Linked DNA regions of Coturnix japonica. The main gene of each other region encodes a partner of the protein of the gene in region 3 in a complex. Links are inferred from orthologs where the notes say so. Each region holds a gene or a part of one and is shown on either strand. Other genes may lie near its edges.

What was found.
Region 1: PFDN2 (region 3) and PDRG1 share a complex: the UniProt entries of both Homo sapiens proteins name them as parts of the PAQosome complex. The link is inferred for Coturnix japonica from reciprocal best matches to the Homo sapiens genes PFDN2 and PDRG1.
Region 2: PFDN2 (region 3) and RUVBL1 share a complex: the UniProt entries of both Homo sapiens proteins name them as parts of the PAQosome complex. The link is inferred for Coturnix japonica from reciprocal best matches to the Homo sapiens genes PFDN2 and RUVBL1.
Region 4: PFDN2 (region 3) and POLR2E share a complex: the UniProt entries of both Homo sapiens proteins name them as parts of the PAQosome complex. The link is inferred for Coturnix japonica from reciprocal best matches to the Homo sapiens genes PFDN2 and POLR2E.
Region 5: PFDN2 (region 3) and WDR92 share a complex: the UniProt entries of both Homo sapiens proteins name them as parts of the PAQosome complex. The link is inferred for Coturnix japonica from reciprocal best matches to the Homo sapiens genes PFDN2 and DNAAF10.
Region 6: PFDN2 (region 3) and ASDURF share a complex: the UniProt entries of both Homo sapiens proteins name them as parts of the PAQosome complex. The link is inferred for Coturnix japonica from reciprocal best matches to the Homo sapiens genes PFDN2 and ASDURF.

The regions. Positions count from the first base shown.
Region 1 is NC_029535.1:8,958,246-8,961,521, forward strand, and holds PDRG1 (p53 and DNA damage-regulated protein 1), read left to right. Parts: upstream 1-1,268; 5' UTR 1,269-1,342; coding exon 1,343-1,426; intron 1,427-1,501; coding exon 1,502-1,577; intron 1,578-1,654; coding exon 1,655-1,729; intron 1,730-1,893; coding exon 1,894-1,974; intron 1,975-2,365; coding exon 2,366-2,448; 3' UTR 2,449-2,776; downstream 2,777-3,276. UniProt on the Homo sapiens protein: May play a role in chaperone-mediated protein folding.
Region 2 is NC_029527.1:7,146,614-7,150,776, reverse strand, and holds the start of RUVBL1 (ruvB-like 1), read right to left. Parts: upstream 2,801-4,163; 5' UTR 2,550-2,800; intron 1,706-2,549; 5' UTR 1,667-1,705; coding exon 1,619-1,666; intron 968-1,618; coding exon 835-967; intron 1-834. UniProt on the Homo sapiens protein: Possesses single-stranded DNA-stimulated ATPase and ATP-dependent DNA helicase (3' to 5') activity; hexamerization is thought to be critical for ATP hydrolysis and adjacent subunits in the ring-like structure contribute to the ATPase activity.
Region 3 is NC_029540.1:2,483,396-2,487,434, reverse strand, and holds the start of PFDN2 (prefoldin subunit 2), read right to left. Parts: upstream 2,801-4,039; coding exon 2,729-2,800; intron 2,602-2,728; coding exon 2,540-2,601; intron 322-2,539; coding exon 198-321; intron 114-197; coding exon 1-113. UniProt on the Homo sapiens protein: Binds specifically to cytosolic chaperonin (c-CPN) and transfers target proteins to it. Binds to nascent polypeptide chain and promotes folding in an environment in which there are many competing pathways for nonnative proteins.
Region 4 is NC_029543.1:2,009,030-2,013,186, forward strand, and holds the start of POLR2E (DNA-directed RNA polymerases I, II, and III subunit RPABC1), read right to left. Parts: upstream 2,801-4,157; 5' UTR 2,722-2,800; coding exon 2,665-2,721; intron 2,592-2,664; coding exon 2,417-2,591; intron 1,728-2,416; coding exon 1,612-1,727; intron 1,340-1,611; coding exon 1,259-1,339; intron 1,112-1,258; coding exon 1,053-1,111; intron 903-1,052; coding exon 824-902; exon of another isoform or gene 576-823; coding exon 510-575; 3' UTR 497-509; intron 220-496; 3' UTR 1-219. UniProt on the Homo sapiens protein: DNA-dependent RNA polymerase catalyzes the transcription of DNA into RNA using the four ribonucleoside triphosphates as substrates.
Region 5 is NC_029518.1:372,912-377,208, forward strand, and holds the start of WDR92 (WD repeat-containing protein 92), read left to right. Parts: upstream 1-1,497; 5' UTR 1,498-1,527; coding exon 1,528-1,716; intron 1,717-1,800; coding exon 1,801-1,901; intron 1,902-1,971; coding exon 1,972-2,102; intron 2,103-2,412; coding exon 2,413-2,514; intron 2,515-3,108; coding exon 3,109-3,224; intron 3,225-3,410; coding exon 3,411-3,545; intron 3,546-3,630; coding exon 3,631-3,728; intron 3,729-3,977; coding exon 3,978-4,185; 3' UTR 4,186-4,297. Other genes in the region: RNA-binding protein PNO1, read right to left, coding at 1-78, 369-429, 662-745, 1,037-1,186, 1,261-1,431. UniProt on the Homo sapiens protein: Key assembly factor specifically required for the stability of axonemal dynein heavy chains in cytoplasm.
Region 6 is NC_029522.1:4,422,936-4,427,196, reverse strand, and holds the start of ASDURF (ASNSD1 upstream open reading frame protein), read left to right. Parts: upstream 1-1,461; 5' UTR 1,462-1,528; coding exon 1,529-1,591; intron 1,592-3,468; coding exon 3,469-3,522; intron 3,523-4,056; coding exon 4,057-4,132; intron 4,133-4,261.

The DNA.
Region 1 (3,276 bases), on a different chromosome or scaffold from region 3:
GCAGGCAGGCAGGGAGGGTTCTGAGCTGCATAAATGAAAGTGATTCAAGGAAGAAAGAAAAAGGAACGTGCTGAAACCCAGACCTTCCCTTTACGCCACAAAATACAGACAGATGCAAACCATCCCATAGCAGCGAGTGGATGACCACATGCTCTGTCTGCACAGACAGGTTCCCAGGAGGGCACATAAACATGCAATCAATCTGAACGAGCCTCCAGCCTTCAGGCTGAGTCCAGCTTCCAGGCAAGCAGCTTTCCTACGGCGCCGGGTCCAGGAGAAGGAAGGCTGTGATGATTTGCATCTGGCTCAGGGCCTGCTGTGGGAGAGGCCTGCAGAGCATGGCACCAGCAGCCATCGTTGCCTTGGGAATGTTTTCCAGGTGCCCAAAGCTTTGTGATGCCTCCTGCCACAGCTCAGCTGCAGCTCTCATGCAACCCTCTGTGTGGCCACGGTAAACCCACAGCCTTTATTTTGCTGTGAGCTGCTGAGTAGCACTGCCTGCTTCAGGGGTGGACATCAGGCTTCTCTCTGCTACTGCTATCACGTAGAATGTGATGGCTCGAGGTGGAAGGGACCTCAAGGATCATCGAGCTCCAAGTCCCCGCTAGGACGGGGTTGGATGCAGACGGGCAGTGCTCATTTCCACCACTTCACTGGGCACCTTCTTCTTTCAGCACACTCTGCCACAGACCGAGATCTCTCCCGTTAACTGTCACAAACGACTTTACGAGATTAAGGCCGGTAATCTTCCGATCTGCTTAATCTTCCTCTGGGGATTATTTGCGCACCAAGAGCTTCGCTCCTGGCAGCCACAGAACCACAGAACACCCCAGGATGGAAGCAATGACTGAACCCAACCCTCAGCTCCACCAGGGGAGCCCTGAAATCTCACCCCGTGTTTCAGAGCCGCCCCACAGCACTGCCCGGCCGATTCACATACAGAACCACAGAATGAGCCGGGTTGGAAGGGACCTCAAGGATCATGTAGTTCCAACCCCCCTGCCTGGCAGGGCCACCAAACATACACCTTTACTACATCAGGTTGCCCATGGCCCCGTCCAACCTGGCCTTGAACACCTCCAAGGACGGGGCATCCACAACCTCCCTGGGCAGCCTGTTCCAGGCCCTAACCACTCTCCTAGTGAAGAACTTCCCCCTAACATCCAACCTAAATCTTCCCTCTTTTAACTCAAAACCATTTCCCCGTGTCCTGCTATTGTCAGCAATTGACACTGCAATTCCCGCAGTGTCCACACGGGGGCGCTCTACGCGGAACTCCGGATCGCGGCCGCTGCTGCCGCCCGGCGGGGAGCGGGGATGGGACGGGGCGGAGCGGCCCGACATGGCGCGGGACCCAGCGTTTGTGCTGCGCTACCTGGCCGAGGTGGAGGAGCTGGCCGAGGACGTGCTGGCCGCACGGCAGCAGGTGAGACCCGACCCGGTTCGGCCCGACAACCCCCGACCCCCCCCTTTATCCCCATCCCCTCCCGTCTCTTTGCAGATCGTCGATCTGGACGTGAAGCGGAACCGGAACCGCGAGGCGCTGCGGGCGCTGCTTAAAGACCCGGAGCCGGACGGTGAGTCCCGGAGCTCGGCCGGGATCGGGGCGGTGTGTGCGGGGCACAGCGCTGAGCACGGCTGGTCCTCACTGCAGGGAAAGCCATGGTGTGCTTCGGGAGCACCTTCATCGAGCTGCACAAGGCCAAGGCCAAGGAGATGCTGCAGAGCGGTACGGAGGGATCTGCTCACCCCGAGGAGCTCGGAGCTAAAACAGAGCAATGCTGCCATCCTGCCCTGCTCACACAGCCCGGCAGGGTCTCTGTTGGTCCCTTGTTCAACCCCAGTCCCCATGTCATGGGTTAACCCCCCTTATTCTTGCCCTGCTATTTTCAGATCAGGAACAGCTGGATGAGGAGATAAACAACCTCCGGAAAGAGCTGCGTGTGAAGGTCAACCGTCTCTTTGAAGCTCAAGGTAAAACACTCCTGGTCTTGAACCCCAACAGCAAAGGTCTGGCTGCAGATGCTGGGGAGAAGTCAATGTGTGAGTGCTGCCGGGGCTGCTCCTCCTCTCACTCTGTCATTCCCTCCCTACCCTGGTAAAGCTGTCAGCCAGCAGCGTGCTGGATACACACAGCAACGACCAGGGTGGATAGTAGGAACAATTGGTTCTCCATCACCATCCCTGCAGGCATCCCAGCACCGCAGGGATGTGGCACTGAGGGATGTGGGCAGGGTTGGGTTTCATGATCTCAGGGCTCTTTTCCAACCTTCACGATGCTGAGAGCCATCATTGCTGCGTGGTTTCACATGGAATGCTTCATGTGTCTTATAGCAAAACCCCAACGTTCTGCACATCCCTACAGGTAAACCTGAGCTGAAGGGATTTAACCTGAACCCCATGAGTGCAGAGGAAATGAAACTGATCAATCGCATCCTGGAAGGTTGAGACAGCCCTGCCACCACCACAACCGTGTGCAAGCACTGCTCAGCCTGCGGTGGTCGGGTATCACTCACAGCATTTGCACTGCATCAGACACAGCCTGTAGGATTTCCAGCTCTCCTGCATTGCTGGAGCCTCTCCTAAAGAACCTGGTGGGCACAGGGAAGGATACAGCTCCTCAGCTGTAATTCTGGCTGTAAACTCTCCCCACTCCTTGCTGCCGGTGGCAGAGCAGTGCTGAGGCAACTGCTGGAACAGTGGCTTATTCACAGCCTCTGACAAACACCCGCCTGCAAGGGGGATTATTAAAACCAGCACTGTGGGGCATTCCTAACTCTGTGTGTGTGTGTTTGTTGTTGGGTTTGTTATGTGAGAGCTTCTGTAGTTTGGCTGCAGAGCGAGTTCACTGCAGTGTCAGGAACAGAAGTAGGAGGAATTGTAAATGTACAGCGTGCCCAGAGTATAGAAGAGCTGTGTGTGCCTGTGGTATTAAAATGAAATGAAACCCGTGCATCTGAAACACGTCAGGAATCTCCTGAGAGATGCGTAGGGAGGAACAGAAGGCAGCAGCGTGTTTGTCTCAATGGGAAAACACAGGCTGCTGTCAAGGTGGGAGCCAAGAGAATACAGAAAAATAAGGCTCTCAAAACAGGATGAAAGAATAAAATGGACACATATTAGCAAAAACTGCAGCTTGAACAGGCTGGATTTGGCCTGTAGCAATGGGATAACTGATTTAAGTCATAATAGTTTTGGCAGAGGTCATAAAATCAGCTCTGGCTCTCCAGGTAGCTCATCTGCTCTCCACTTCAGGCTTAAGTTAGAGATGCACAG
Region 2 (4,163 bases), on a different chromosome or scaffold from region 3:
TGGTAACTAGACCAGAGACTACTGAAGGTTTTTCTTATGAAAATGAATGGAATACTTTTACTTGGTTGCAGAACTGAGAGACCTCTTCACCACCCCCAGATACTCAGATGAAGTCAGAGAGGAAACACGGCAGAGAAATCAGGGAAATTAACTGTTAATAAGTTCAGTTTTTCAGTTAGGTCATCTTTAGGCAATCCTTACACAAACAAGGGCCATTTTAACCGCATTTATCAGCTGTCAGCAGAGATCATAAAAGAGATTTTAACTACTTAGTGAGGTCGCGTTGCAAATTTACCCAATTTACGTTGACTTTGTAAAAGCACTCTAGAATTGAGGAAGATATTGAAGATATTATTTATTTTGCTGGCATGGAACTTCCTCTGTGCTCACTGGAACACTGAGCCAGGCTAATGCTGCCACTTGGGAACCCCTCGAGAAGGCTGCTTGCTCAGCAAGGTGGAATCACTAAAGTACAAGGGAAAGCATTTTGCTGTCTATAAGCATTTCTGCTAATGTAAGAAACTAAAAACAGATTTTCTTTCAGATTTCTGGAGTGTCACAGGTGGCATCAGGAGGTGGAACCTGGAGGACAAGAAGAGATCCTGGGGGAGGAGAGTAAGTAAAAATATCTGTGGGACACAAGCATTTATATCCAGAAAACCTTACTGACTCTACTAAGTGTGGGAGAGATTCCCCAGTTTAAGATCAGCATTGAAGAAAAGTTCACATCATGTTCTGGAAACCACCGTGACCACCAAGATTTTTCCTTTTCAGATCACTAGAAAAAACAATGTAAGTATCACATAAAAACGTTTCTGTTTTTCTGAAACTTACCAATTGCTCGTCTGAAGTTTTCCATCAGAACTTCTGTTTTCTTGATTTCAGTAGAATAGACCTCACTTCCAACCATAGGACAAAAGGGAACTTTACTGCCAAGTTCCTGAGCAATAGCTAAAGCCAAGGCAGTCTTTAAAAATGGAAAAAGAAATTAAGCATTTCATTTTTATGAGGATTCTTTCTGCACTAAGTTAACTTTCCTCATCGTATCACCTTCACTCTATCAACTACTACTACTATACTATAGTATTATATATATATATACATATATATACTATATTATAACTGCTCTGACATCTCTCACATATAACAAACATCTCCCACCAAAACAAATTAGACACGCATAAGGTGACTTCTACCAATGACTTATAAACACTGTAAAGGAATGATAGTGGACTTCTGAATTTAACATCTTATAGAAATGAGATGGAAAGGGAAAAACAACTAAAAAGAATAACTATTTAGGCTTTTAATATCGAATTAACTTATAAGACTAATCAGAAACTGTCCTGCCTCTGTGTTTGGCAACCTATATTAGGTGCTTTCGCACTAATGATGGCTGCACAAACCAGAGGATGCTGCCAGTGCTAATGACGTGGCAAAAATTAAACACAAAACAGGAGACTGTGTCAATACCTTAATGGAGGAAAAAAAACACAACAGCAGATGAAGACAATATATAACCGCTATTCTAAAATGCTTGTGGCAGCACGTTAAATTACAGCGGATTTCAGAAGGTTTTATTTCTTGCAAGAAAAGGAAAATAAAAATATCAGGATACCTTGCCAGTTCCAGGAGGTCCTGCCAACAGGACAGCTCTGCCAGCCATCTTCTTGCTTTTGATGAGCTCTACTATAACCCCACAAGCCTGCAGGATAAGGGTTGGCACCATTAACAAGAGTACTGTTAAAATACATTTAATTCCAGTGATACTAGAAGTGTTTAGAACTACTGATCTTCTGAGGTGCCAAAATTAAACTGCAGTTCAATGTTATACATAGGAGTGAGGTAAGAAAGAAATCACTTCCTGCAGTCCCTGTATCTGGCACATTAAAGAAATAAATCAAACAGAACTCAAACCAAAGAGCTGGGGATCTTTTTCCCCTTGCAGAGCTGCACGCAGGTATCAAAGCCTAAAAACAGAGCAAGAGGGGAGTAAACTCTTGGAAAGGGCTGATAATAGCAGGACACGGGGAAATGGTTTGAAGTTAAAAGAGGGAAGATTTAGGTTGGATGTTAGGGGGAAGTTCTTCACTAGGAGAGTTCAGGTTAGGGCCCTGCGAAACCAGGCTGCCCAGGGAGGTTGTGGACTGCCCCATACCTTGGAGGTGCTTGTCAAGTGACCCAGCGTTGCTGACGGCGGACCTGTTGCGGGGCAACCTGATCTAGTAAAGGTGATATATGATTTTGCGTGGCCCTTCCACGGCAGGGGGTTGAAACATGATCCTTGAGTCCAGTCCCTTCCAACCCGGGTCATTCTGTGACAAACCCCCACCCGGCCTGTCGCGAGCGGAGCAGGCGGACTTGGCTGGGCCCTGCACCACCTCACGGGCACCAATCTTTGAAGTGGAGCCTTAAAACCCTGTAGATCGTTTATCCGACAATCCAGCGAGTAGTAACGGGCGAATCTCACAGCCCGGGCCTGGCGCTCTATGATCGGCGGCCGTGCCAGCCCGCGAGCAGTGCGCCAGGTGCAGGGGCCCATCTCTCACCTCCCGCGCGTTCTCCTGTCCGCACCAGGCGCGGCGGCCCGCCGGTTTGGCGGAGTGCCGCCGTCTCGTCGCAGCCCCCGGAGGGCCCAGTTAACAGGCTGTTGTGCTGCGGATTGCCGCGGATGCGTCTGTCGCAGGTTGCTCGGTTCACCTCCTCGATCTTCATCGGCGCCACGGGTCTCCCTTCTCCCTCACGTCCACCCGCGCATCACGCGGCCCGCGCGTTACCAAGGCCTACGCCGGCGCGCGGCCTCCTCGGGCTCCCCCGCTCCCGCGCGTCTCGTCAATTGGCCCTGCGTCTGCCGCGCCTCGCGCGGCTGTTGTGATGGTGTCTGCGGTTAGGCGTGACCTGTTCACCGGACGAGCTGCAGCGGCGGGCCTGGCGATACATATTTGAGAGTGTGTGGGCCGTCTGTCGCCGCATTCCGTCGGCTGCGCTCTCGACTCAAAGCGGTCCGGCGTGCGGCGGCGAGGTGCGGGGGAGGGTGGGTGTGGGGAGATGGGCCGGGACCGAGCAGGGGCCGAGCCTTTGGGTGGGCTTTGCTGTCGTCCTGCCTTTACCAGTGTGTTAATTTAACCACTGCTGGTTAATTTTTAACCAGCAGTTATTTACGTTTTACGTGCCCACGGCAATATCTGAGCCTTTAACTTCGCCTTTTTTATAACAGTATAATATAGCGACGGACAGCTCCTCCCCACGTCGAGAGTACTGATAAACTGAGGGGGGAAAACAGTTGTTCGGGGGGTCGTGTCTCATCTCCACACCCTCAGAGCTCCCTCATGTAACAGATCTCCCACCACCATGGCTGTGGGCTCTGCTGTAGTGTTACTGCACCTCTTATGTGGTCCATCAGTGCTTGGGGTGGAAATGCTGTGAAATCTCAGAGGGCGTTTCAGAGCCTGGCTGCCATCCAGTGCGTTCTTCTCTGTTGGTAGATTCTGGGCGAGGAGATGACTCATGGAATTAGTTAAGGTTGGAAAGATTGCCATGAGTGTTTCATCGTAATATCCAACCACGGACCCATGGCACTATGGCCTGATTGCCACCATCCCTGCAGTTACCACATCTGGCGCACGGCGTTCTGGGTATGCGTCAATTCAGAATCGACAGAATGACGGCCGGGTTGGAGGGACCTCTAAGGATTCATTGTAGTTCCAACCCCCCTCGCCTGAGCTGAAGCGGCCACCAAATCTGATCACCAACGCGTTTACTAGGCGATCAGGTTGCCCAGGGCCCCGTCCAACCTGGTCTTGAACACCTCCAAGGACGGGGCATCCACAACCTCCCTGGGCAGCCTGTTCCAGGGCCGAACCACTCTCCTAGTAAAGAACTTCCCCCTAACATCCAATCTAAATCTTCCCTCTTTTAACTTAAAACCGTTTCCCCGTGTCCTGCTATTATCAGCCCTTTCGAAGAGTTTACTCCCCTCCTGGGAGTAAGTTCCCTTCAGGTATTGAAAGGCTGCAATGAGGTCACCCCGCAACCTTCTCTTCTCTAGGCTGAACAAACCCAACTCCCTCAGCCTGTCAAGGAACAGCCTCCAGGGATAGTGTCTGTACCTCTCCCTGGGCAGTGAGTGAGAAGAAATTTCTCCTTGTATCTACTCTGAAAGA
Region 3 (4,039 bases):
TGCCGGGGGTCATCCTCGCCCACCAGGCGGATGTTGTGCTTCTCACGGAACTCGTTCAGCTCGCGGCCTTTGCTCTGCAGCTGCTGGCTCAACGACTCGATGATTTTGCTGATCTGGGAGGAGAGAGAGGAGGGGCTTTAGGGGCTTTATGGGAGGGAGCGGAGGGGTCTGTGGGTGCCGGGGGGGTTTGGAGTTACCTGCTCTCGGTTGCCCTCGAGTGCGGGCAGCACCTCCTTGACAGTGCGCTCCACCAGGATGCCCCCCACCATGCGGTAACACTTCCGTGTGGGATCCACCTCCCGCAGCGTCTCAATCACGAGGCTGTTGGGGGGGGGGGGGTCCGTCAGCCCCCGTCAACCCTGCAGCGCTCCCAGCGTTCAACCAGATCCCTCGTTTCATCACAGCGTCGCTCCCACCACTCCTCATATGTTTCCTCCTCCATCCAGGGAGGCCCCCCCCCCCATGCAAGCCCCGCCACACCCCAGTGTCAGCTCCTATCCTCCAACCAATACGCCCTCCACATCCTCCCCAAGTCACCCCCCCATACTCGATGACCCCCCCCCACATCCTCACTGTCCCCCCTCATATCCCCAACGTGCCCCGACACATCAGTGTCTCCTCATCCTGGTGTCCCTCACACACCCAGTGACACCCCAGCGTCCCCCCCCCCCCGTACTGTCCCCCCCCACCTTCCACACACCCATTTCCATCCCCCCACATCCCCCCCCCTTACAACGTCCCTCACACACCCATCCCACTGACACCCACACCCCCGCTGGTTCCCCCTATCCCAATGCCTCCCCCATTCACTGTTACCACCCCCCCTCCATATCCCTTTGCCAACCCCCATCTTTCTCCCAGCCCACGCCCTTACACCCCCATTACCCTCCCATTCCCTTCAGTATCCCCCCAAACCCATTCTGCTGCCCACCCCTCCTTGGTACCCAATGTCCTCCGTGCCCCCCCCCATTCCCTTGCTTGCCCCTATTCCATAAACGTCCCCCGTTTTTTTTTCCCCCCCTTTTTTTTTCCCCCCTCACCCATTTGCCCAGGTGCCCCCAACCACTGCTTACCCATATCCCCGTACCCCCAACATGTCCCCATACCCCCCCATGTCCCCACAACTGGGCCCCATTGTCCCCACACCCCATGTCCCCCACTCCACTGTCCCCACACCCCCCCCCATATCCCCGTACCCCTCATGTCCCCGGCTACCCCACCCAAAGACCCCATGTCCCCATACCCCCCCCCGTTCCCCATACCCCCCCATTGTCCCCACACCCCCCCCCCAATATCCCCGTACCCCCCCCATTGCCCCCCTAACCCCAAGTCCCCACACCCCCCATATCCCATACCCCCCATGTCCCCACAATCCCCCCAAGCTCCCGCTTACCCCCCATATCCCATACCGCGCGCCATGTCCCCACACACACCCCATGTCCCCAATGCCCTCCCATGTCCCCACACCCCTACTATTCCCCGCATGACCTCCTCCCATGTCTCATAATGCCAACATCCCCCACGCACCCCCCATTCTTGTTATACTTCTCCCATGTTCCCCGTACCCCCCATATCCCCATACCCCCCACGTCCCCACACCCCCATGTCCCCGTACCCCCCCCCATATCCCTGTAGCCTCCCATGTCCCCATACCCCCCCATATCCCTGTAGCCTCCCATGTCCCACACCCCCCATGACCCCAAATACCCTCCCCTAGTTGTTCCCCCCACACCCCCATGACCCATAACCCCCCTACTGGCCCCATGTCACCATAACCCATATCCCCGTACACCCCCCTCCCATGTCCCCATTAACCCCTCCCATGTCCCCATACACCCCCATATCACCGTTACTCCCCCCAATGTCCCCACACCCCCATGGACCCCATGTCTCCATACCCCCCCCCATATTCCATTACCCATGTAAACCCCTACCCCCATATCTCCACACCCCCATCCCCACATGCCTCCATGTCCCCACACCTCCCCATAGCCCCATACCCCCCATGTCCCTGTACCCCCCTCATATCCCCACACCCCCCCCATATCCCCACACCCTCCCCATGTCTCCCATTACACCCCCATACACATGTACCTCCCTCATGTCCCACACCCCCCCATGACCCCATGTCCCCATACCCCCCATATTTCCCTACCCCCATGTTCCCCCTTATAGCCCCCCATGTCCCCAGTCTCCATACCCCATATCCCATACCCCCCACGCCCCCCCATATCCCATACACCCCCATATCCCCGTACCGCCCCCATGACCCCCAACCCCCCATATCTCCACACCCCCCCAATATTCCCCCACCACGCCTCCCATGTCCCCACACCCCCCCCCCATATCCCGTACCCCCCCCATGCCCCTACACCCCTCCCGCGTGTCCCCACGCCCCCCCTATATCCACCACCCCATATTCCCCACACCCCATATCCCCACAACCCCCCCATAATCCCATAACCCCACATTCCCATCCCCCTAACCCCAGCCCCACCCCCCCCCCCCCCGTCCCGTTACCCCCCGATGTCCCCCCCACCCGTGTTCGTTGAGCTCCAGCTCAGCTCCGCCGCCTGTTGGGACGCCAGGCCGCCGCTGTTCCTGTCGTAAACCGGTTTGAACGAGCCAACCACCTGCTCAAACAACCACACAACCACAACCACCGGGGATGTCACCGCTGGGATCCCGGGATCGTCCCTCTGTCCGTCCCCAAACCCCGCCCCGCCACCTGTTCCGCCGTCCAGCGCCTTCCCGCCCGGCCCCGCTGCTCCGGGCCGCCCCTTTCGCGCTGTTCCGCCATTTTCCCCCTCCACCGTTTTTGCGTCTCTTCCGGCGCACACCGGAAACTGGGCAGCCTCTCTTCCGGCGCAGAGCGACAGCGAGTAAAGCTCTTCCGGTGTATACAGGAAACACCATGGAAGCCATCTTGGTTATGGCTCAAAACCCGGCAGCGGTGGCTATATGGTGAGGTAGTGCCGGCCGCCATCTTGTTGTGGCAGGGACTTTGCCCATTGACCCCTCATCTGTCACGCCTCCCGCCTCGGTGCGGGGCCGCGAGAACGATATTGTACGGGCCGGGGGGGGATACAGGGTTCTGGAGAAATCCTGTGGGCAATGGGAAGAGAGAATCAAAGTGGGCATTTAAGGGCAGTTGGAAGGTTATCATAATAGGGGGGTGATTTGAAGGTTGTTGGGGTTCTATGGGGTGTTTGAAGGGTGTTGGGGGTTCTATGGGGTTGTTTGAAGGGTGTTTAGGGGCGATGGCGAAGCAGTATGGGGGCGTTCATAGGGCAATGTGTGGCCAGTATGAGAGGGTTTAAGGGCAATGTCGGGGCAGTTATGGGAGGAGTTTGTAGCGGCAATCGTGAGGGTCATGTATATGGGGGTTCTATGCGGGCAATGTGGGGCAGTATGGAGGGTTCTATGGGCAATGTGGGGCAGTATGGAGGGTTCTAAAGGGCCAATAGTGGGGCCAGATATGGACGGGCATTAGGGCAATGGGGGCAGAAATGGAGGGTTTCTAAGGGAAGTGGGGCAGTATGGAGGGTTCTAAGGGCATGTGGGGCAGTATGGAGGGTTGTAAGGGCAATGTGGGGCAGTATGGAGGGTTCTAAGGGCAATGTGGGGCAGTATGGAGGTCTAAGGCAATGTGAGCAGGAATGGAGGCGGTTCTAAGGGGCAATGTGGGGCGGTATGAGGGTTCTAAGGGGCAATTGTGAGGGCAGTCACTGCTAGGTCTGTCAAGGGCAATGTGGGGCAGAATGAGAGGCGTTGTCAAGGGCCAATGTGGGGCACGAATGGGAGTGTTCTAAGGCAGGATGTGAGGCGCAGAATGAGGGTTCTAAGGGCAATGTGGGGCGAGGAATTGGAGGGTTCTAGAGTGGGCAATTGTGGGGCAGAATGGGATGAGTTTTGCTAAGAGGGCAATTGTTGGGGGCAGAATGGAGGGTTCTAAGGGCCAATGTGGGGCAGAAATGGAGGGCGTTTTCTAAGGGCAAGAGCCTGTGAAGAAGCAGTATGGAGGGTTTCTGAGGGCAAT
Region 4 (4,157 bases), on a different chromosome or scaffold from region 3:
CTTCCCTGTGTCATTCAGTTGCTTCGAGGTGTTTTCATGGCGTTCCTGATTGAAGCAGAAGGATTTGCAGCAAAATCCGTGCTGGGAAATGAGGAACTGGGACAAGGAAAACAACTGCAGGGGGGCAGCAGGGACAGAGAACTTCCTCAGCCATCGAATGCAGACAGCTGAGAGCTGGTGGTGGGTGGGAAGATCAGATGTCACAGAATTCTTTCACAACTGGAAGAAATAAGTCAGGACGTGAATGAGCTCATGTCTCCCTCAGCAGCTGCTCTCAAAGCAAAGCCCTGCTGCTGCTCTGAACATTGAGATGTGCCTTCAGCTGTGATACTGAGGCACCAAACCCTAGTATAGCTTTGCTCTGATCCATCCCATACAGTTCCCTTCGCAAATCAGGAGGGAATCCTTTCCCAGAGCCAACTCACTTCAAGTCACCCCTAGAAAACCACAGCATAAGTTTAAAGCACTGCCCGTAGATGGGGATCTCACACATTACCTGAGAGCTCTGATCACTGCACCAGCCTGTAGGTGATGTAACGGCCTGCGGTCTCACTCGGTCTTATGATCTTCACCACCTGGAAGGGCAGCAAAAGGAGCAATGGGGGATGGCTGGTGTTACAGCAGCTGGTTCAGCAGGAAGCCAAGCCTGGCCCCAGGGCTATCTGCTGCCTTGCACACATCTCTACATAACCCATAACGTTCAGAAACAAAAACACTAACAAAGAGGAAACCTTTCCCATCTCCAAGCTCTGACACACTGTGCTGCAGCTCCCCATCCTGCCTGCAGGGCCCTGCTGTTTGTTATCAGGCTATTTGCTCTTACCTGGCCTCGCTTTATCCCGAAGTATCGGGCCACAGGATCCCCAGCCTGGATCCTGGGGAGTTGGTTCTCCCTCAGCTTACTGCATGGAGTCAAGGAGGAGCTCTGTGTCTGCTTGTCCTGAGGCAGGGCACAGCTAACAGAACATCACACACTCAAAGGAATCCATTTCTTGCCCAAGACAAGCACTCATCACACCCTGACTGCAAGGGAAGGACCAAACAAAGGATACTATCTGGCCAGCAGCTCGGTTACTTCTTCTTTTGTCATGACAACGTGCTCTGGGACCAGCTGTAAACAGGAGAGAGAAAGAGAGATCATAAGAGTCTGAGAAAGCAACCAGCTCTGCATAGCTGCAAGACTTGGGGGGAGGAACAAAGCTCTGGTGGGGAAACCCAGCACAGGGCAGGGCTGGGAGGGCCGGCCTGAATCACTCACCTCGTGTTCTGTGATGTTGATCAGGAGCTCCTGCTGTAAGAACTGCTCCAGGATGTATTTGGGAGCCATATCGACCAAGGACTGGGAAGGGAGAAGCACATCAGGTTGTAGCACTGATATGAGACAGTGTGAGCTCAGAGATGCCCCAAGATGAACAGCAGCAGGAGGGCAACACGGTGTCTGTGCTCACATTGATATGGTCATATGGGCAGAGAGGAAACAGATCTCTGTGCCCAACCAGCACCAGCTCAGTGCACTCAATGTATAAGCCCAGTATTAAGGCACAGAGCCTGAACTCTGCCTTTATGGACCCAGCACAGCTCAAAGAGCCCCGGGGCCACATCACACTGTACCTGCTTTGCCGATGGGGTCATTCCCTGCTGCACCACGATCAGAGCCCGCGTGATGTTCTCCTCCTGCATGCGCTGGCAATACATCTTGATGGTTTTAATGCCGACTTTGGGTTCCTCTGAGGGAGGAAAAGAGCAGGGTGAGATTGAACCAGGAGCACCACCAGACCCCAACCTGACCCCAGCCCAGTTCTAACCTGGTCCCAGCCCAGTACTAACCCGGTCCCAGCTCGGTTCTAAGCCAGTCCCAGCCCAGTCCCAACCCAGTTCTAACCCGGTTCCAGCCCGGTCCTAACCCGGTCCCAGCCCGGTTCTAAGCTGGTCCCAACCTGGTCCAAACCTGGTCCCAGCCCGGTTCTAACCCAGTCCCAACCCGGTTCTAACCCGGTCCCAGCCCGGTCCTAACCTGGTTCTAACCCAGTTCTAACCCGGTCCCAGCCCGGTTCTAACCCGGTCCCTACCTGGTCCTAACGCGGTCCCAGCCCAGTTCTAACCCAGTCCTAACCCGGTCCCAACCTCGTTCTGACCCGGTCCCAGCCCGGTTCTAACCCAATTCTAACCTGATCCTAACCCGGTTCCAACCTGGTTCTAAGCCGGTCCCAGCCCAGTCCCAACCCAGTTCTAACCTGGTTCCAGCCCGGTTCTAAGCTGGTCCCAACCTGGTCCAAACCCGGTCCCAGCCCGGTTCTAACCCAGACCCAGCCCAGTCCCAACCCGGTCCTAACCTGGTCCTAACCCAGTTCTAACCCAGTCCCAACCCGGTCCCAGCCCGTTTCTGACCCGGTTCCGACCCGGCCCCGTTTCTCACCGGGGAAGAACACGAACATCTGGTCCGTGGGATCATCGTTATGTGCCACCAACACGGTCAGGTCCGTTCGGCGCGGGCGGCCTTCGCTGGGTTTATCCCCGAACTGAGCTTTAAACTCCTCCAACGTCTGATCCAACTCGTCCTGAGTCACCAGGTAACCGCGGTCATGGCACAGCTAAAGGGAAATACAACATATGAGACCTGAAACCGGACCGAATCGAACCGAACCGAACCGGGCCGGCCCGCACCTGCATGATGGTCTTGCGGATCTTCCACAGCCGGTACGTCTCCTCCTCGTCGTCCATGTTGCCTCCTGAAGGACCCCACGAGGCTGCCCGCCTCAATGCCTGTCCACAACGAGCAGGCGGGGCTGCCCTGCGAGGGGTCCTTGACCGCGGGGAACGCTGGGAGATGTAGGCGGGGTGGAATGGCGGAAGGACACCACCCCCTTGTTGACACTGCAGCAGCCTCGCTGATTTGATTGGTGGTTTCGCCTGTCTATCACCCAAGGGAGCGGCTCGCATTGCGCAACTGCAAGAAGTGGGCGGTGCCTTCGCGCGTCCTAATCGCTGATTGGTCAAAGGGGGGGAGAGCGGTGGCGGGATGGGGTGGGGGTGGCGTTGCGGGCGGGCGCTGCTGTGCGGGGCGGCGGCGGCGAGAGGAGCGGGGCGGACAATGGTGAGTGGGGGGGGACAGAACAGAACCGAACCGAACCGAACCGGGTCGGTACTGGGGGGGTTGGGGGGGTTCGGAGCCGCTTTGTGACCGCTGGGCCCCGCAGTGCGCGCAGGCGGATGAATGGCGATCGGCCACCTCCATCTATGACTTCCACGCCACGGATATCGACGGCCGAGACGTGGCCTTGGAGCAATACAGGTCTATTAGATATATATATTATATAGACATTATATAGACATTATAGAGACATTATATGTACCATACAGCAACACAGCAATGGGCTGTATTATATACCCCCCCCCCCATTTTACCCCCGCAGAGGTTCCTTTTACCCCCTATTTTACCCCATTTTACCCCATTTTTACCCCCTATTTCACCCCTTTTACCCCCTATTTTACCCCATATTACCCCATATTTTACCCCATATTACCCCTTTTACCCCCACAGAGGTTCCTTTTACCCCCTATTTCACCCCCTTTACCCCCTATTTTCCCCATATTACCCCCACAGAGATTCCTTTTACCCCATTTACCCCCACAGAGGTTCCTTTTACCCCCTATTCTACCCCATTTACCCCCACAGAGGTTTCTTTTACCCCCTATTTTACCCCATTTACCCCCACAGAGGTTCCTTTTACCCCCTATTTTACCCCATTTACCCCCACAGAGGTTCCTTTTACCCCCTATTTTACCCCTCCAGGGGTTTCGTCTGCATCATCACCAACGTGGCTTCCAAATGAGGAAAGACTGCAGTGAATTACACTCAGCTTGTCGACCTGCACGCACGATACGCTGAGAAAGGGCTGCGCATATTGGCCTTCCCATGTAACCAGTTTGGGAAGCAGGTGGGCACCTCAATGCAAAGATATGGGGTTGTGTGGGGTTTACACGTGTGATACCTGTTTTTCCCCCCCCCCAGGAGCCTGGGGATGATGCACAGATCAAAGCCTTTGCGGAGGGTTACGGGGTGAAGTTCGATATGTTCAGTAAAATTGAGGTCAATGGGGACGGCGCCCACCCGCTGTGGAAGTGGATGAAGGAGCAGCCCAAAGGCCGGGGAACGT
Region 5 (4,297 bases), on a different chromosome or scaffold from region 3:
TAGTGAATTTGGTTTTTCCACCTTTCCCCGCTATTCTCCCTATTGCTCTGGACAGGTGATCTCCCTTCAAAGGTTTGACTAAAACAAGAACAAAGTACTCAATCAATTACGCTGTGCTGCGTATCCTCCGTGACATTTCCTCTATTCAAACAAAGGGAAAAGCAGCAATTAACACATGTTGAAACACATCAGTTTTAGATGCTGCTCTCCTTGTGTCCAGCTCCAGGTTCTCCCCATAGACAGTTATGCCATGTATTGGCATCGGGGTTTTCCTGATCCCCAAAGTGACACACGTGGAAAAGAAGGAAAGAGCAAAGAAGTGCTCAGAAGTGAATGGCTGCTTGAGTAGCACAGCAGAAACTACTCACCATCCGTAACTTCAAATGATTCCAGGAAGAGATCATCTAATCTGATGAGAGCGAGAGCGTCCTGCAACATTCAGAGTCACCATCAGCCTGAGCACTGCAGCACTGTCACACACAAGTTCTTTACAGGCCCAAACAGATCAAATCAGTCACGTATCTCCATTTGACGCATCAAACATCAGTTTTAACTTCAAACATTAAAGAAAACCACCCTGAAGTTTTCTGTTTCTTGATGTCATGTCCAGAGTGCTTGAAGATATTGAGCAATAGCACAACCCGGCCGCTGGGAGACTCACCTCCACCTGGAAGCCGAGTATGAAGGCTTTGACAAAGTCAGCTGCTTTGGTCAGAGCACTGAGGTCTTTGGTCTCAGCACAGGTCTGCAGAACGAGAAGATACGTTTCTATGTTATCAGGCAAACGGAATCAGGACTTGGAAAGTCAGTGAGATAAAGGCTGGCTGTATAAAAGAAAGCCAAAGCCACGTTCGTGTAATGCCACCTCCGCATTGTGTTCTACTGAAAGCGCAGACCAGTAGTGTATGTTGTGCTTAAGACAACAGGCTGCCCAGAGAGCTGTGGGTGCCTTGGAGGTGCCCAAGGCCCGGTTGGGCGGGTTTCAATGAAACACGAGGGATGAGAGGAACGTGAGGACACACAGCACAGCGCTCACCTTGATCTCCACGTTCCTGGTCTTTAAGTTAAACCTGATCTGGAGCTGCAGGTGCTCCACGATGGGCGTGAATATCTTCATCCAGTTCTCCTTCAGCGGCGTGTACCTGTTGGCCGGTACCGGCACCTTCCTCACCTCCCCTTTCCCCACCTGCGGACAGATGGGCGCTGAGCGGACACGTGCAGCCCGTCCGCCCCATCCCTCCGCCTCGGCGCCGCGCTCACCCCCATGGCCGCGGCGGGCAGCGGTGGGAAGGCGGGTCTCTTGCTGGGCTGCGGCCCCGCCGCATCCACCGCCTCCATCGGCTCCGCAGCCGCCGCTCTCCGCTTCCTCCTGCCGCGCTTGGAAGCCACGCTGGTGAAGCCGCTCCCGTTCTCATCCGCTTCAGACTCCATAGCGTGGCCCTCCGCCGGAAAAGCCACCGCCACTTCCTGCCCGTCCCGCCGTCCCTTCCGCTTCCTGCGTTATCCGCGTCGCTGCCGTCGCTCGTTATGTCGGCGGCGGGGCTGGACCGGCCGCAGGTGGTGGTTCACGTGCAGCAGCCGCTGACTTACACCGTGTTCGACTGCAAGTGGGTGCCGCGCAGCGCCCGCCTGCTGTGCCTCGGCAGCGCCCCGCGAGGCACCGGCCTCATCCAGCTGTACGAGCTGCGAGCCGGGCGGCTGCTGCTGCTGAGCGAGGTGAGCGGGGCGATGCGGGGCGGCACCTCGTAGGCCGAGGGGTTTAACGCTTCATACGGTGCCGACCGTGTCCTTTATCTGCAGATCGAAAAGGCCAAACCGATAAAATGTGCCACCTTCGGGGCAGCCTCCCTGCAGCAACGGCACCTGGCGACAGGGGACTTCGCGGGATGCCTCAGCATCTGGTGGGTGTGTGATTCCTTACAGCGCTCCTGGCTACTGAAGGCAACGCTGTGTTATCTGTTTCTCACATAGGAACTTAGAAGCTCCTGAAGTCCCCGTGTACTCCGTGAAAGGTCACAAGGAAATCATTAACTGCATCGATGGGGTCGGAGGCCTCGGAATTGGGGAAGGTGCCCCAGAAATTGTGACAGGCAGCCGGGATGGTGAGTGGGAGAGAGCTGAGCTGCTCAGTGACATCCCTGAACTACAGGCTGTGGGCACCGAAATGGAGGGCGGCCCTTTGGGATGAGCCTCCTCTGCTTCCTTTGGGAGCTGGAGAGGAGGAACATAAAGCAGAACAAATACAAAATAGCAGCTAGACATCTTATACTTTCCCTGTGCTTTTCTGTTTGTATTATGTTTCATTTCTTCCTATACACTGACATAGTCTGGAGGCGTCAGGCTGCCTTTCCCTGGGAAACCAAGAGTGGTGCATCAGTGCATCTGTAACACTGATGGCTTTGCTTTCCTTAGGAACTGTGAAGGTGTGGGACCCTCGGCAGAAGGAAACTCCTGTTGCCAACATGGAACCTGCGCAGGGAGAGAGCAAGAGGGACTGCTGGACGGTGGCCTTTGGTAACCAGTCTGATAACAGCCCCCTGTAATGTCACTGCGTGTTGACAGTAATCAAACCACTGAAGGCAGGGTTTGTTGTTCGGTGTTATCACATCTGTGTCTTTGCACTGTGTTTTAAAGGCTGTCTTTCCATCACGTTTGGTGGTAGTTGGCTCAGGCATTGTTTTCTTACCATCTCTGCTCAATCACTTCACAGACAAGCTTTATTCTTAGGCATTTTTACAGCCCTAGTGTGGGAATTGAACATTTCTATGTCTAGGAATGTAAAAGCAAAGAAACCACTTTGCCCTGGAGGGGTCTAACTGTGATTGTGCATGGAGAACCAATATCTGCTGATGACATTAAGACATTAATGTAAGAGACAATCCCCAGAGCTAACGAAAGACAGCAGAGATGCTTAACTTGTGCTCTTGAATTCAGGATGCTTGAGCCCAGGCCATGTCCATCCCAAACTCTGTGCTCTCAATTCATTAAATCCTACTATATGATGCTTTGCTGGCATAAATCTAAGTTGAAATTGCTGACTTAAGAGGTCTCAAATTTACAGCCTAAGAGGGGTTTCTGTGTTGTGATCAATTCTGTCTCTGTGTCCAGGCAATGCTTACAATCAAGAGGAACGTGTAGTATGTGCTGGATACGACAATGGGGACATTAAGTTGTTTGACTTAAAAGCCATGTCACTGCGATGGGAGACCAACATTAAGAACGGGGTAAGGTGCTGTGGAAGCAGGGCTTCATTCCAGCTGTGGTGTGTGTCTGTTTACAGGCAATCGCGTTATTGCCGAGTTGGTGAAGCTGTTGTAAGAATAACCAATGATTAGATACGTGTCTGCAAATCACACTCACAAATATATGCTTGTAGCAGTGGCTGAACGTATTGGTTTCACTCTTTGCAGGTTTGCAGTGTGGAGTTTGACAGGAAAGATGTGAACATGAACAAGCTGGTGGCCACGTCACTGGAGGGAAAATTCCATGTCTTCGATATGAGGACTCAGCACCCAACTAAAGGTTTTGCTTCTGTTTCAGAGAAGGTAATGGGGAGATGGATCATTCCTTTAGCAACATGTAGTACAGGAGTTTGTACAGAACTTTTGTCCAATGCTGGTTGTTTCCTAGGCACACAAATCCACCATCTGGCAGGTTCGGCACCTCCCGCAGAACAGGGATGTGTTTATGACGAGCGGAGGAGCTGGGAGCCTTCATCTCTGGAAATAGTAAGTGATCACTGTCTGCTCTATAACAGGGGAATAAGGAACCAAAACAACTGTTTATTGTTTAAAGAAAGAATCATTGTAAAGATGGTGCGTGGGGACTCACTTCCAAGCTCAGATATGATGGATATGATGGCTCGCTATTTTGAAGACATTTGTCTTATCTTGAGAACAGAGGAGACCTTTCTGTGCTGTCTTTTAAGAGCAGGATGAGATTCCTGTTTGTCTCAGTTTTCCTTTCCTTTCTGCCAGCGAGTACCCGGCTCAGCGCTCAAAGAAGGACTCGGAAGGAGCTGAGATGGGGGTGGCAGGTTCTGTCAGCCTCTTGCAGAACGTGACTCTGTCAACACAGCCCATTTCCAGCCTGGACTGGAGCCCCGACAAAAAGGGGCTGTGTGTTTGTGGTGCCTTTGACCAAACTGTGAGGGTACTGATAGTTACTAAGCTTAACAAAGTGTGACAGGAAAACTGGGATTGCTGATGAGAAAGCAATACAGTTTGACGTCTGTACATACGGGAGGGAGGGACCTATTGTCTTTAATCTAATTTCTCCCTTTTTAGAACTGGATTAA
Region 6 (4,261 bases), on a different chromosome or scaffold from region 3:
ACTACAGCAACCCCAGCACTACTAATTTAGGAGCTTCTTTCCTGTCAGCAAAGTGTGAACTGAGGTCAGAATCAGGTCTTCACTATCACTGATTATACAGTTTTACTTTATACATGTTCAGAACAATGAACTTACCTAACTGGTTTTTGGTTATAAAGAATACAATCAGGAAAAATAAAAATAAAAATAAAAGATTTTTATGAACACAAGACACTTCTGTATTCTTAAGTCCTGCCACACCATCCATATGGCATTTCCTATGTCAGATATCTCTTACACTTCCATCTGCTACAACCTTTCATAGCATCTCAAGCTCTTACTGTACACTTACCAATTTCACTTGCACATGAAGAAATAGCAAGTTGGACCTTGCCGTGTATCAGCCCGTCCAGACGCTCTCCATGCCTTTCCACACAGTGGATTTACAGCAGTCTCCTTCCTTCACTGAGGGCTACACAGGCTGGACGTGCAGCATTTCTGTTCTACTCATAATGTCAGCACTGTCTCACACGATGTGTCGTACTCTTTTAGTCCTACTGTTTAAGTGTATTTTGGAACAGCCAGGTTGAGCCGTCTCATCTCATTGATTCTGTTTCCACACCAAGAAGACACACTGCTACTTGCATCCTAAGCTAAAGCACTACTACTACTTGGAAGATGGCACAGAAGGATGAAGCATTCACTTATCATCTTTGGTTAATGTAGCAAGACAGATAATGAAGGTTCCAACAGAATCATAGAATGACCCGGGTTGGAAGGGACCTCAAGGATCATGTAGTTCCAACCCCCCTGCCTGGCAGGGCCACCAAACATACACCTTTACTAGATCAGGTTGCCCAGGGCCCCGTCCAACCTGGCCTTGAACACCTCCAAGGACGGGGCATCCACAACCTCCCTGGGCAACCTGTTCCAGGGCCTAACCACTCTCCTAGTGAAGAACTTCCCCCTAACATCCAACCTAAATCTTCCCTCTTTTAACTTAAAACCATTTCCCCGTGTCCTGCTATTATCAGCCCTTTCGAAGAGTTTACTCCCCTCCTGGCAGTAAGTTCCCTTCAGGTACTGAAAGGCTGCAATGAGGTCACCCCGCAACCTTCTCTTCTCCAGGCTGAACAAACCCAACTCCCTCAGCCTGTCCTCATAGGGGAGGTGCTCCAGCCCCCTGATCATCTTCCTGTCCCTCCTCTGGACCCTTTCCAAAATCTCCATGTCTTTTTTGTACTGAGGGCTCCACACCTGGACACAGCACAACAGATGAGTAGAGCTCAAGCAGGGGACTAACGGGAAATGTCTCCATGAATCAAAATACTATCAAAGATCCGACAACAAGGCAGCCGGTACTGAAGGAAAATGGTCTCATTGCTCCACAGCCACTACGGCCATAACTCCACCTCAGCCATACGCGCCTAACAGCCGCTCTGCTGTACGCATGCGCAGTCGCTGCAGTTGTTTGGAGCCCACAGCGTGAGGCGCAGCCGTTGTGCGTATATTGCTGTGCGACGGCAGCGGCCGGCACTGCGAGCTGGGGATGTCGCGGCGGGAGGAGGAGGAGAGCGCCGAGCTGGGCCGTAAGGAGGAGCTGAGCCGGAGGGTGAGTTATGGAGGGTCTGAGGTGCTGCCCTGCGTCTCATAGTTGTGTGTGGGAAGGAGGAGGGTGTGCTGGAGGCTGAGCTGCGCTGTGGCCCAGGTGAAGGTGTGGGGGAGCTCGAGTGTTGTGAGCCCTTCTGGCGAGTTCCCTTCCCGTTTTTAGTGTTGTGAGATGGGCTGTGTGTGATTAGTCGAAGGAGAATGTGGTTCTCTGGGTTTGTTGAGCAAGTCGTGAGGGAGTTTAGTGAGGAGGCCAGCTTTAAAGCTGGGCTTTTCGTAGTGGCAGTCTTGTCTTTGTTCAGTGTGAGTTCTGTACAGTCCTGGTCAGTTGTCCTCGCATAAAAAGTGACTTTATTCTTCTACACTAATATCGCAATAGATTAGTGTTGTTCTCTAGTTGATTGGTTACATAAGAGACTAAAGAGAGCAACTGCATCAGCACAACACAGCGTATTAGCTGCGTGGCTGAAATGCCTGGTTCTGCTTTGCATCACAAGACTGCACTGTGTTCTTGTCTGTTTCAATAACTATCATAGTATGCTGTTGTAGCTGTTGGTGAAACAGCATTTTCTCAGTTCAGTTTGCCTTATACAGCCCTGTAGTTATTTCCATCTGCGCCAATTCCAGGAGGCAGAAAGGAGGACCGGAGTAAGGTGTGTTCTGTGCTTACAGAAAGTAGTGTGTGTTGAACCACTTTAGCTTTGTGTTTCAGCTTTTTTGATGGGCCCTGATTGCTCTTTGTCTTTAATGGCTCTTTGTCTTTAGTGGCTGACGTTGTCCAGGGAAGCAGGAGCATTGGACTGTTTGTGTCAGTGCAGCTGAACTGATGGCGGTAGATGCAGCATGACAACTTTGTGCTAAAAGTCCAGTGTACTGGAAGTGTTTCTAATTATCTTAATACAGTTTTGGGGTTGTTTTATACATATTTATTTATTTGGGGGGGGGGGGGGGGGTTATTGGTTATGTAGGTTTTTAATTGTTTCATTTACTGTTTTCATTTTGAATCTGGAGAATAAGATTATAAAGTGTATTGTGTAGGTAAATCTTTTCTCTAAGTTGCGTAATCACAGAATTATCAAGGTTGGAAAAGACCTAGAAGATCATCTAGTCCAACCGTTACCAATACTTCCCAGCTAAATCATATTCATCAACACAACATCCAGACGTTTCTTGAACACTCCCATGGTCGGTGACTCCACCACCTCCCTGGGCAGTGCATTCCAATGCCTGACTACCCTTTCTGAGAAGTAATACTTCCTAATGTTCAGCCTGAATCTCCCCTGGCACAGCTTAAAACCATTCCCTCTAGTTCTGTCATCTCTTACATGAGAGAAGAGGCCAACCCCCAGCTCACTACAACCTCCCTTCAGGAAGTTATAGAGAGCTATAAGGTCTCCCCTGAGCCTCCTCTTCTCCAGGCTGACAAATGTTAATAGTTGTTTATACGTTTGTTTTTTTGGGGGAGGTTGAGGGTGAAGTGATTTTGGATTCTGAGCAGCGAGGAGTACTCTGGCTTCCCAGTAATGACTGCTTTGGGGGGATGGGAACAGTGTCAACCATGCAAGATAATTCCCTTCCAAAGCAGTTATTTAGAGTGCTTCATTGTCTTATTGTTGAATTCATAACTTAGATTTCAATAAGAAGTGTGTTAAATGTAATTCAGTTATGTGGTCCGAAGACTTGTTGTATGCTTGGAATAATGGGTAATGAAATTTCTTTTTCATTCCTGTGTCCACTTTCATTTTAGTGGTCTGTTCAGGGCACAGTGACTTATATTTTTATAGCTGTCTTAAAAACATGGGTAAAGATTTTAATCTCCAGGACTGCAACACAGTAGTTTATTGTTGACAATTATATTGAGATGTGTTTTTTCTCTTTCAGATTAAGGAACAGAAGGTTGTAGTTGATGAGCTTTCGAATTTGAAGAAGAACAGGGTAAGCATTAAAGTTTTTTCTGCTTACTTCATTTTAGCATCAGATAAATTTGTATAGAGGCAAGAGGGCAAACAAAATTGCAGTGAGTACATTATCTTTAGTTGTTACACTAAAGATTTTAATGTGTATATGATCTTCTGTATGGTGTCAAAATGTTGTCTACATCGCTTGAGGGTTTACTTACACTTGTGCATTGTAACAGGAAGCTGTCTCAAGGTTTTACTTTAGCACAATTTTTATATTATGATGTTTGAGTGGATCAGTTTATGTTAAAAGCTTCTTTATTTTTCATGTGCATATGATGTAAAACAAAATATGACCCTTTAAGTATGAGGAAAGGAGGAAAATGCAGAATGGTTGTGGGTTGTTCCTGAAATGTTTTGGTGCGACATGAGGACATTGCTCATGGCAGAGAAGGTATCTTTCAGACATAAAAGGGAAGGGTATCTCAGTGGACTTCAGTGAGTTTCTGCTGCAGTGTGGTTGCCTGTGTATGCTACTTTTACTTAATGTGGTGTTGTATTTATTTTACAGAAAGTTTATAGGCAGCAACCCAATAGCAACATATTCTTCCTTGTAGACCGAACAGAAACACTGTCTCAATGCAAAAGTAAGTTTGCTGCACCAAAGGTAATAGTTCAACTGTTTAAAAGCTGTCTCTGTAGCTGTTGAAGATTTCCAAGTTGTAGTACAGTGGGAAAGCTGGCAACTGCATGTTAAATACCAAGTGGACTTCAGT